Linked DNA regions of Saccharomyces cerevisiae S288C. The gene in region 2 interacts genetically with the main gene of each other region. Each region holds a gene or a part of one and is shown on either strand. Other genes may lie near its edges.

Region 1 (2,952 bases), on a different chromosome or scaffold from region 2:
AATATTTTGTGAGATTTTATGAATGCGTTCCATCATCTATTTACTACAAAACGATAAATTTCCCCGTTTTCTTTTACTTTTACTTCATTTAATATAATTCATATTTATTTCCTATGTACCAATTAATTACTTCTAAAAAGAACAGAAATAGAAAAAAGTTGTATATAACAAGCCAAAAAAAAGAAAAAAAAAGGAAAAAAAAGAAAACACAGCTTATTTCAAATTGCAATCTGCGTATTTCGTAAGTAACGAATGATCTCACAGCATTGCTTTTTTTTTTTTTATATATATATGTACATTACCTATGTCACATATGACCATGATGAGTACAACACTAAAAACCAAGGCCTACTATTCAATTGTTCTCTATATGATTTCCATTCTAGCAAAATCGAGTGCTACCGACCTGCCGTTTTCTTTACCTTTCGAACCATTGAGCTGTTAGCCTTCTCTTCACAGAAACTGAAAGCCATTAGAAGCCTCCCCTTCAACAATTCCCTTGTCTTTTGTTTCAGCTATATAATGCGTTTATAGCTCTAATTGTGGTCGAATAGGAAGAATTTGCGTTAACACCCGTAACTAGCTTTCCATCTGTAATAGAGTAGTCATCCCAGGGATGGATTGGCGCCAAGTACTTGGCTCCATTCTTGTTTGCAACGCGTTCAACCGTTGTCAATTTTCTGCTCCTCAAGATGTCGTCAACTCCCAGGGCGATTTCACCCTCGAGTGGGAAACCTGTTATAGCTTTGCCTTCGATTAATGGTCTTGTTGTTTTGATATCTATTAATCCATCGAAAAGGAGCGGTCCATGACAGATGGCAGCGATCACACCCCCATTGGCATATATCTTGGATGCAATATCTTGCAGATTTTTAGCTTTGGGATAGTCAAATAGAGCACCATGTCCAGCAGATGCAAAGAATATTTTATAGTCGCTGGCGTTGACTTCATTTGCGGTCTTGATCCTCGCTAACGCCTTATTGAAGGCGGAATTTTTCGTTTCAAAGTTCATCTTATCTTCGCCACCAATAAAGCTCTTTGGCAAGTAATGTTCATCCCAGCCAAATCCACCAGTCTCAGAAACGAAGTCCACTTCGAAACCATGCTTTTCGAAAGTATCGAACGACCGCAAAATCTCAACTACAAAAACGCCTGTTTTCGCACCATCTTTATAGAAGGGACCGTGGTATGAAGTAAGAGATATTAGCGCTCTTTTTGGAGTCATTGCAAGGCCAGTTTTCTTTTTGAATGAAGGAGAAAAGTGTTCTAGAAATATGTTTTAGTTCTAAGTATCGTTGTCTGGAGCAAGCAAAGAAAAGCAGACCTGTATGTGCAACTTTCCTCTTTTCCATTAAAATCTCAAGAACCGGCCCCTTGACTGTGCTCATATATCAAGTATCGGTTTTAAAGTCCCCTAATTGTGATAATTGCAAGAACAACAGTCAAAAAGATATTTTTCTTTTCTTTCTTTTTACCTATCCTTCATGAAAATACCTATGCTGATACTGAATATCTTCATTTGCAGCTATGCAATATTTCAGATACCCCATTTTACCCAAGAGTTTCTTACTGGTGGTTGGATTTTCTTTAAGACGAGAAGATTACCAGTCCTGGATGTTCGTGAATGTGCCTATTGCGTCATCAGCGACTCCGCGCCAAGAAAAGAAATACTCGCATGCTCGGATTTATAGAATCGCATAATGGAAATACCTTCCTTAAAGGATGGAGATAAGGAAAAAATGACAAGAACAAGGAAGTACTTGGGAGCTTTCTCCGACATGGTAAATATTTGAAACTCACGCAGCTCTCCTGGAAAGTTGGATCTGGAAAGGTAAGGTTGTTTTTTTTACAGACATCAACCAAAATCGGTTCTTGTAGTAGACAATGTCACAGATCGCCACAAGTTGAAAAAAAAGTTTCGATGAACTGGATAAGGGGAGAGGTCACAAACAAAGTGTAGGGGGTGAGTAGTATAGTGGTAACTTGTTCATTTACCTAAATAACATTCTCACTAGAAAAGAGATATTGAAAGACTCCTCGTTTACCTAACTTGGCTGGTTCTTAGGTATATAATAGAAACATGGATCTGGCAGGTTATCACTTACAGTTTGCACTCCCACCAGGTTACAATTTTCATTATATATAGTTATTTTTTACCACCACTTCTTCTTCTTTCACTTTGTCTTGCAATAGAAATACCAAAACAAGGTGAGGAAAAAATCGAATCTCAACGATAAAAATATGTCCATCACGAAGGTACATGCTAGAACGGTGTATGATTCTCGCGGCAATCCGACTGTTGAGGTTGAAATTACAACAGAGAATGGTCTCTTCAGAGCGATCGTCCCATCTGGTGCCTCCACCGGCATTCACGAAGCTGTTGAACTTAGAGACGGGAACAAGTCCGAATGGATGGGAAAAGGGGTGACCAAGGCAGTCAGTAACGTCAATAGTATCATAGGGCCTGCTTTAATCAAGTCCGAATTATGTGTAACCAATCAGAAGGGCATAGACGAGCTCATGATATCGTTAGACGGAACTTCTAACAAGTCAAGGTTGGGCGCCAATGCTATCCTTGGTGTTTCCTTGTGCGTTGCTCGAGCTGCTGCCGCACAAAAGGGAATTACTCTCTACAAGTATATAGCCGAGTTAGCGGATGCTAGACAGGACCCCTTTGTTATTCCTGTTCCTTTTTTCAATGTTTTGAATGGTGGAGCCCACGCCGGTGGCTCTTTAGCTATGCAAGAATTCAAGATCGCGCCAGTCGGGGCTCAGAGCTTTGCAGAAGCCATGAGGATGGGTTCGGAAGTTTACCATCATTTGAAGATATTGGCGAAGGAGCAATATGGACCTTCCGCTGGAAATGTTGGTGACGAGGGTGGAGTTGCCCCCGATATTGACACTGCCGAAGACGCCTTGGACATGATTGTGGAAGCCATTAACATATGCGGT
Region 2 (3,359 bases):
AGCAGTAGTGGCAATTGGTTCAACAGCAATACCGAAAGTAGAAGAGTAATCAGTTATACCACCCTTGTAAGTAGCTGATGGAGTTAAAGTGGACCACGGGTCCTTTGGAGCATAGGCAGCTAAAGATGTAGCAACTAAGGCGGAGGCAACTAATGATTTTTTGTATTGCATTTTCTAGAATATACTATTAGGGGAGTTTTGTAGTTTGTTTTTTTTTAATACCAGTGTATTAACTTTTGTTTTCTTGATGATATTATTCTTATACAGTAATAGAGAAGATAGGACAACTATGCATAAAGTAGTAAAGATCTTGCTCCTTTTTATATGTGAGAATTGTAGCATTACGATCTTCTTATTGAAAGAATAATTAGTATACCAGCGTTCTAATATTTGGGCAGGAGAGATTGACTGGACACAGTCTAAACCCTTTCAGATACATGGGCTAAATGATGGTCCATCGTATTATTAAAGCAAGTAATCGAGCTCCAAGAAGGATTTACGTCCGCCATCTCAATTTCTTTTATTAGCGTTGCTTCTATAATTGGCAGGACATAAAAAGGCTGCTAATAATAAATGATGATATAATTAAGAGCAAGCTGGCCGATCTCTCCATTTTTATGCGCTCCAAGCCACGTCATTTTCCGATGACAGGAATGCTTTGCATATTTCATATGAGATATACATTGACTCCTTTTCGACCAACCGTTTCATTAAAGGGGCAGCAGCTGTCAAAAAAGTAGCCGAAAAAGGCGTCTGGCTTCGAGGAATTATTACCTAAATAGGAAAGGCAGAATATATTAGAAAAAAAAGAAAAACCAAATGAGAAAAGTGCTGGTGCTAAATAAAACATTATTGAGGGGCCAAGAGGGGACAAAAGAAGATATAACTAGATCATTAAGTTTTCGCTCTAGTAACAGGAACAAAGATTGTGAGATACACTGTTATGCTAAGAGACGGTGCGATATTCTGTACGAAAATTATTTAACTATTAACTAAATGTATACCACTTCACGTGCCACCGAGTAGGTTTCTAAAATGTGCAACCATTTTAGGTATGTGCGCAGCTCTTTATTCTAAACGGGAGTCACTACATTACTATTATCGTGTTTTTGCCCATGTACTTTCTTATAATCTTAAGACAACAACGGGATGATAGGCGCATTCGGACTTTCATTGATGCAAATGTGTGAAAAATGCATCCAAAAGACAACTTTTGTACAGAATACAATTGCAAAAATACTTTACGGGCATAGATCGGTAAGGTCACCGGGAAGCTAGCGTAAGAGACCTTATTCGGAACCGAGCAACCATTTCCGAATGTAGTAGTAGTTGAAGGAGTAAATCGACCTTATTGTACACTACTTCCTTTAAATTTGATTTCTGGCCCCGCGCAATTTCTTGGCGGTTAAGCTGTATTTTTACCTCATCGGGAAAAGTTATTGCAAGTTAAAGGGGATCAAACGATTAGCAAACTAATTATAGATCAAAGGCCGAGGGCTTTCTAAATTTGGCATATTTCGCCGTCGACTGAAATAGAAGGGATAAATCATGCATCTCCAGGATTATCCCTACTCCATTCATTACAACATGCGCCAAATCAAGCCTATATAAGATTCTCGTCATTTAGCATGCTCTATTGATTTGTGTCTTGTTTTGTCTAACACTGAAACTGTAACCTAAGATTTCTTTAGATAATTATTACATTTACATCAATAAGAAATCTCATAAAACAAGTACTGTTTATAAGTAAAAATGCAATATAAAAAGCCATTAGTCGTCTCCGCTTTAGCTGCTACATCTTTAGCTGCCTATGCTCCAAAGGACCCGTGGTCCACTTTAACTCCATCAGCTACTTACAAGGGTGGTATAACAGATTACTCTTCGAGTTTCGGTATTGCTATTGAAGCCGTGGCTACCAGTGCTTCCTCCGTCGCCTCATCTAAAGCAAAGAGAGCCGCCTCTCAGATAGGTGATGGTCAAGTACAGGCTGCCACTACTACTGCTGCTGTTTCTAAGAAATCCACCGCTGCTGCTGTTTCTCAAATAACTGACGGTCAAGTTCAAGCTGCTAAGTCTACTGCCGCTGCTGTTTCCCAAATAACTGACGGTCAAGTTCAAGCTGCTAAGTCTACTGCCGCTGCCGTTTCTCAAATAACTGACGGTCAAGTTCAAGCTGCTAAGTCTACTGCCGCTGCCGTTTCTCAAATAACTGATGGTCAAGTTCAAGCTGCCAAGTCTACTGCTGCCGCTGCCTCTCAGATTTCTGACGGCCAAGTTCAGGCCACTACCTCTACTAAGGCTGCTGCATCCCAAATTACAGATGGGCAGATACAAGCATCTAAAACTACCAGTGGCGCTAGTCAAGTAAGTGATGGCCAAGTCCAGGCTACTGCTGAAGTGAAAGACGCTAACGATCCAGTCGATGTTGTTTCCTGTAATAACAATAGTACCTTGTCAATGAGTTTAAGCAAGGGTATCTTAACCGATAGGAAGGGTAGAATTGGCTCTATCGTTGCCAACAGACAGTTCCAATTCGATGGTCCTCCACCACAAGCTGGTGCTATCTATGCTGCTGGTTGGTCCATCACCCCAGAAGGTAACTTAGCTCTTGGTGACCAGGATACTTTTTACCAATGTTTGTCTGGTGACTTCTATAACTTGTATGATAAGCACATTGGTTCTCAGTGCCATGAAGTTTATTTGCAAGCTATAGATTTAATTGACTGTTGAACGATGCATCGATCAATCGGAGTCGTCCTCCTTTAACTTCACGAATTAGTTGCCACTCTCATTCCCCACACATAAACTTGTTTTATGGCATCCTTTTCATTTAGCATGTCTTTATTTCCAAACCTTTCCTCGTTCTTTGCATTCATTTAGCGTTTGCTCGAGAAAGCATCACGTTTTCACACATTATCGTTCGTCGCTATAATAAAAATAGTTATAGAATTTACTCAGATTTACATGTCGTACCTTTTTAATTGTAAAAAAAAAAATTTTATGATACATAATTACCTAAATATAATTCAGAATCAAACATACTTATAGCTATTTGTATGCTATTAGGTGGTCCTGCTATAAAAATATCGTTTATAATACTTTATATTTTATCTTTCAACTTAGTCGCAATTGCAGAAGCTTTCCCTGAGAAAAAATTTGTGAAGCTAGCTGCGATAGCAAAGGAGCGCTTAAGGTATAGAAAAGCACTCAGCTGGAATGCCAAAAGATAGTTTAGCAACTGACCAAGGAAAAAGCTTGTAGGTAGACTTAACTTCATTGTTCTCTAATCCTTTCGTCGTGTATATTGTAAAAACTGCTGAACGAGTATTGATAAAAGATATCTTGGCCACTAAGGGGCA
Region 3 (2,568 bases), on a different chromosome or scaffold from region 2:
CATATATTTCTCGAAAATATCCAAGGGCACCTGCTTTTATCAGCTGCGACAATAGAGCCACGGAGCCAACAAAAAAAGGCTTTTTAGTTTGCCGCATGTAATGATTGGCGAATAATTTTTCAAGGTTATGATTGTTCTTGGGAACACAGATCACGGAATCCTTTTGCCAATAATACATTAGATGGAATATTTGGATACAACTTTCGAATATAACGCCTTTTGAGCTAGCAATATCGACTGTATGGGAATATAAAAGTTAATTTTAGGCAATTTAATTAATCGTGACTGGTCGGAGAAGGCGAGATTGTAGCTCCACCATGTGAGGATTATTGGCAAAGGTTTAGATCCGGTGGAGATTTATCTTCTTTTACCCCATCTTACTTGTGCACTCTCCCAAATTCCCATCTGATGAACTGTTAGTTGATTCCTTTAGATTATAAAACATATGATGTTTACTCTGTTTTTTGTCGGCGAAGTACGGAAAAGCATTTGTGACTCTAAAAAAACATGGCAAGGATAATTAATTAACAATACTTCTTGTGCTGTTTATAAAATGTATTTAGTGTAACATGCTGCTTCCTAGCATATGTATAATGTTAAGAATTTTCCAGTTTCTTTAAAAAGGCATTTACGTGTATTTCTTGACGGCTGCAGAAATCTCTTGGATGTCTTTTGGACTTGTTCTGCAACAACCACCAATGATACGGGCACCGCTGCTAATGTACTGTTTAACAACCGTATCCCAACTGTTCAGCTTATCGCTATTTGGCAACCATATCTTCTTTTCAGTATCATAAACTTCACCACTGTTTGGATAAGCAAGCAAGGCCATATTTGGCAGTGCTTGATGTAGAGACTCAAGAATGTCGGGTGATTGGTTGAAGCTGACGCAGTTGATTCCTAAGAACGAGAGGTTAGGATTTATTTTGTCGCCCAAGTCCATCATCTATTTACTACGAAACGATAAATTTCCCCGTTTTCTTTTACTTTTACTTCATTTAATATAATTCATATTTATTTCCCATGTACCAATTAATTACTCCTAAAAGAACAGAAATAGAAAAAAGTTGTATATAACAAGCCAAAAAAAAAAAAGAAAAAAGGAAACACAGCTTATTTCAAATTGCAATCTGCGTATTTCGTAAGTAACGAATGATCTCACAGCATTGCTTTTTTTTTTTTTTTTTTTATATATATGTACATTACCTATGTCACATATGACCATGATGAGTACAACACTAAAAACCAAGGCCTACTATTCAATTGTTCTCTATATGATTTCCATTCTAGCAAAATCGAGTGCTACCGATCTGCCGTTTTCTTTACCTTTCGAACCATTGAGCTGTTAGCCTTCTCTTCACAGAAACTGAAGGCCATTAGAAGCCTCCCCTTCAACAATTCCCTTGTCTTTTGTTTCAGCTATATAATGCGTTTATAGCTCTAATTGTGGTCGAATAGGAAGAATTTGCGTTAACACCCGTAACTAGCTTTCCATCGGTAATAGAGTAGTCATCCCAGGGATGAATTGGCGCCAAGTACTTGGCTCTATTCTTGTTTGCAACGCGTTCAACCGTTGTCAATTTTCTGCTCCTCAAGATGTCGTCAACTCCCAGGGCGATTTCACCCTCGAGTGGGAAACCTGTTATAGCTTTGCCTTCGATTAATGGTCTTGTTGTTTTGATATCTATTAATCCATCGAAAAGGAGCGGTCCATGACAGATGGCGGCGATCACACCCCCATTGGCATATATCTTGGATGCAATATCTTGCAGATTTTTAGCTTTGGGATAGTCAAATAGAGCACCATGTCCAGCAGATGCAAAGAATATTTTATAGTCGCTGGCGTTGACTTCATTTGCGGTCTTGATCCTCGCTAACGCCTTATTGAAGGCGGAATTTTTCGTTTCAAAGTTCATCTTATCTTCGCCACCAATAAAGCTCTTTGGCAAGTAATGTTCATCCCAGCCAAATCCACCAGTCTCAGAAACGAAGTCCACTTCGAAACCATGCTTTTCGAAAGTATCGAACGACCGCAAAATCTCAACTACAAAAACGCCTGTTTTCGCACCATCTTTATAGAAGGGACCGTGGTATGAAGTAAGAGATATTAGCGCTCTTTTTGGAGTCATTGCAAGGCCAGTTTTCTTTTTGAATGAAGGAGAAAAGTGTTCTAGAAATATGTTTTAGTTCTAAGTATCGTTGTCTGGAGCAAGCAAAGAAAAGCAGACCTGTATGTGCAACTTTCTTGTTTTCCATTAAAATCTCAAGAACCGGCCCCTTGACTGTGCTCATATATCAAGTATCGGTTTTAAAGTCCCCTAATTGTGATAATTGCAAGAATGACAGTCAAAAAGATATTTTTCTTTTCTTTCTTTTTACCTATCCTTCATGAAAATACCTATGCTGATACTGAATATCTTCATTTGCAGCTATGCAATATTTCAGATACTGCATTTTACCCAAGAGTTTCTTTACTGGTGGTTGGATTTTTTTTAAGACGAGAAGATTACCAGTCCTGGATGTTCATGAATGTGCCTATTGCGTCATCAGCGACTCCGCGCCAAGAAA

The links.
Region 1: mutations in PIR3 (region 2) and HSP32 together harm fitness more than expected from each alone (negative genetic interaction), as found in Saccharomyces cerevisiae (one large-scale study listed by BioGRID).
Region 3: mutations in PIR3 (region 2) and YMR321C together harm fitness more than expected from each alone (negative genetic interaction), as found in Saccharomyces cerevisiae (one large-scale study listed by BioGRID).

The regions. Positions count from the first base shown.
Region 1 is NC_001148.4:10,160-13,111, reverse strand, and holds HSP32 (glutathione-independent methylglyoxalase family protein), read right to left. Parts: upstream 1,226-2,952; coding exon 512-1,225; downstream 1-511. Other genes in the region: phosphopyruvate hydratase ERR2, read left to right, coding at 2,242-2,952. UniProt on the Saccharomyces cerevisiae protein: Catalyzes the conversion of methylglyoxal (MG) to D-lactate in a single glutathione (GSH)-independent step. May play a role in detoxifying endogenously produced glyoxals. Involved in protection against reactive oxygen species (ROS).
Region 2 is NC_001143.9:142,649-146,007, forward strand, and holds PIR3 (beta-1,3-glucan linked protein), read left to right. Parts: upstream 1-1,752; coding exon 1,753-2,730; downstream 2,731-3,359. Other genes in the region: PIR1 (beta-1,3-glucan linked protein), read right to left, coding at 1-171. UniProt on the Saccharomyces cerevisiae protein: Component of the outer cell wall layer. Required for stability of the cell wall and for optimal growth. Required for resistance against several antifungal and cell wall-perturbing agents.
Region 3 is NC_001145.3:916,951-919,518, forward strand, and holds YMR321C (uncharacterized protein), read right to left. Parts: upstream 947-2,568; coding exon 629-946; downstream 1-628. Other genes in the region: YMR320W (uncharacterized protein), read left to right, coding at 1-101; SNO4 (glutathione-independent methylglyoxalase family protein), read right to left, coding at 1,416-2,129.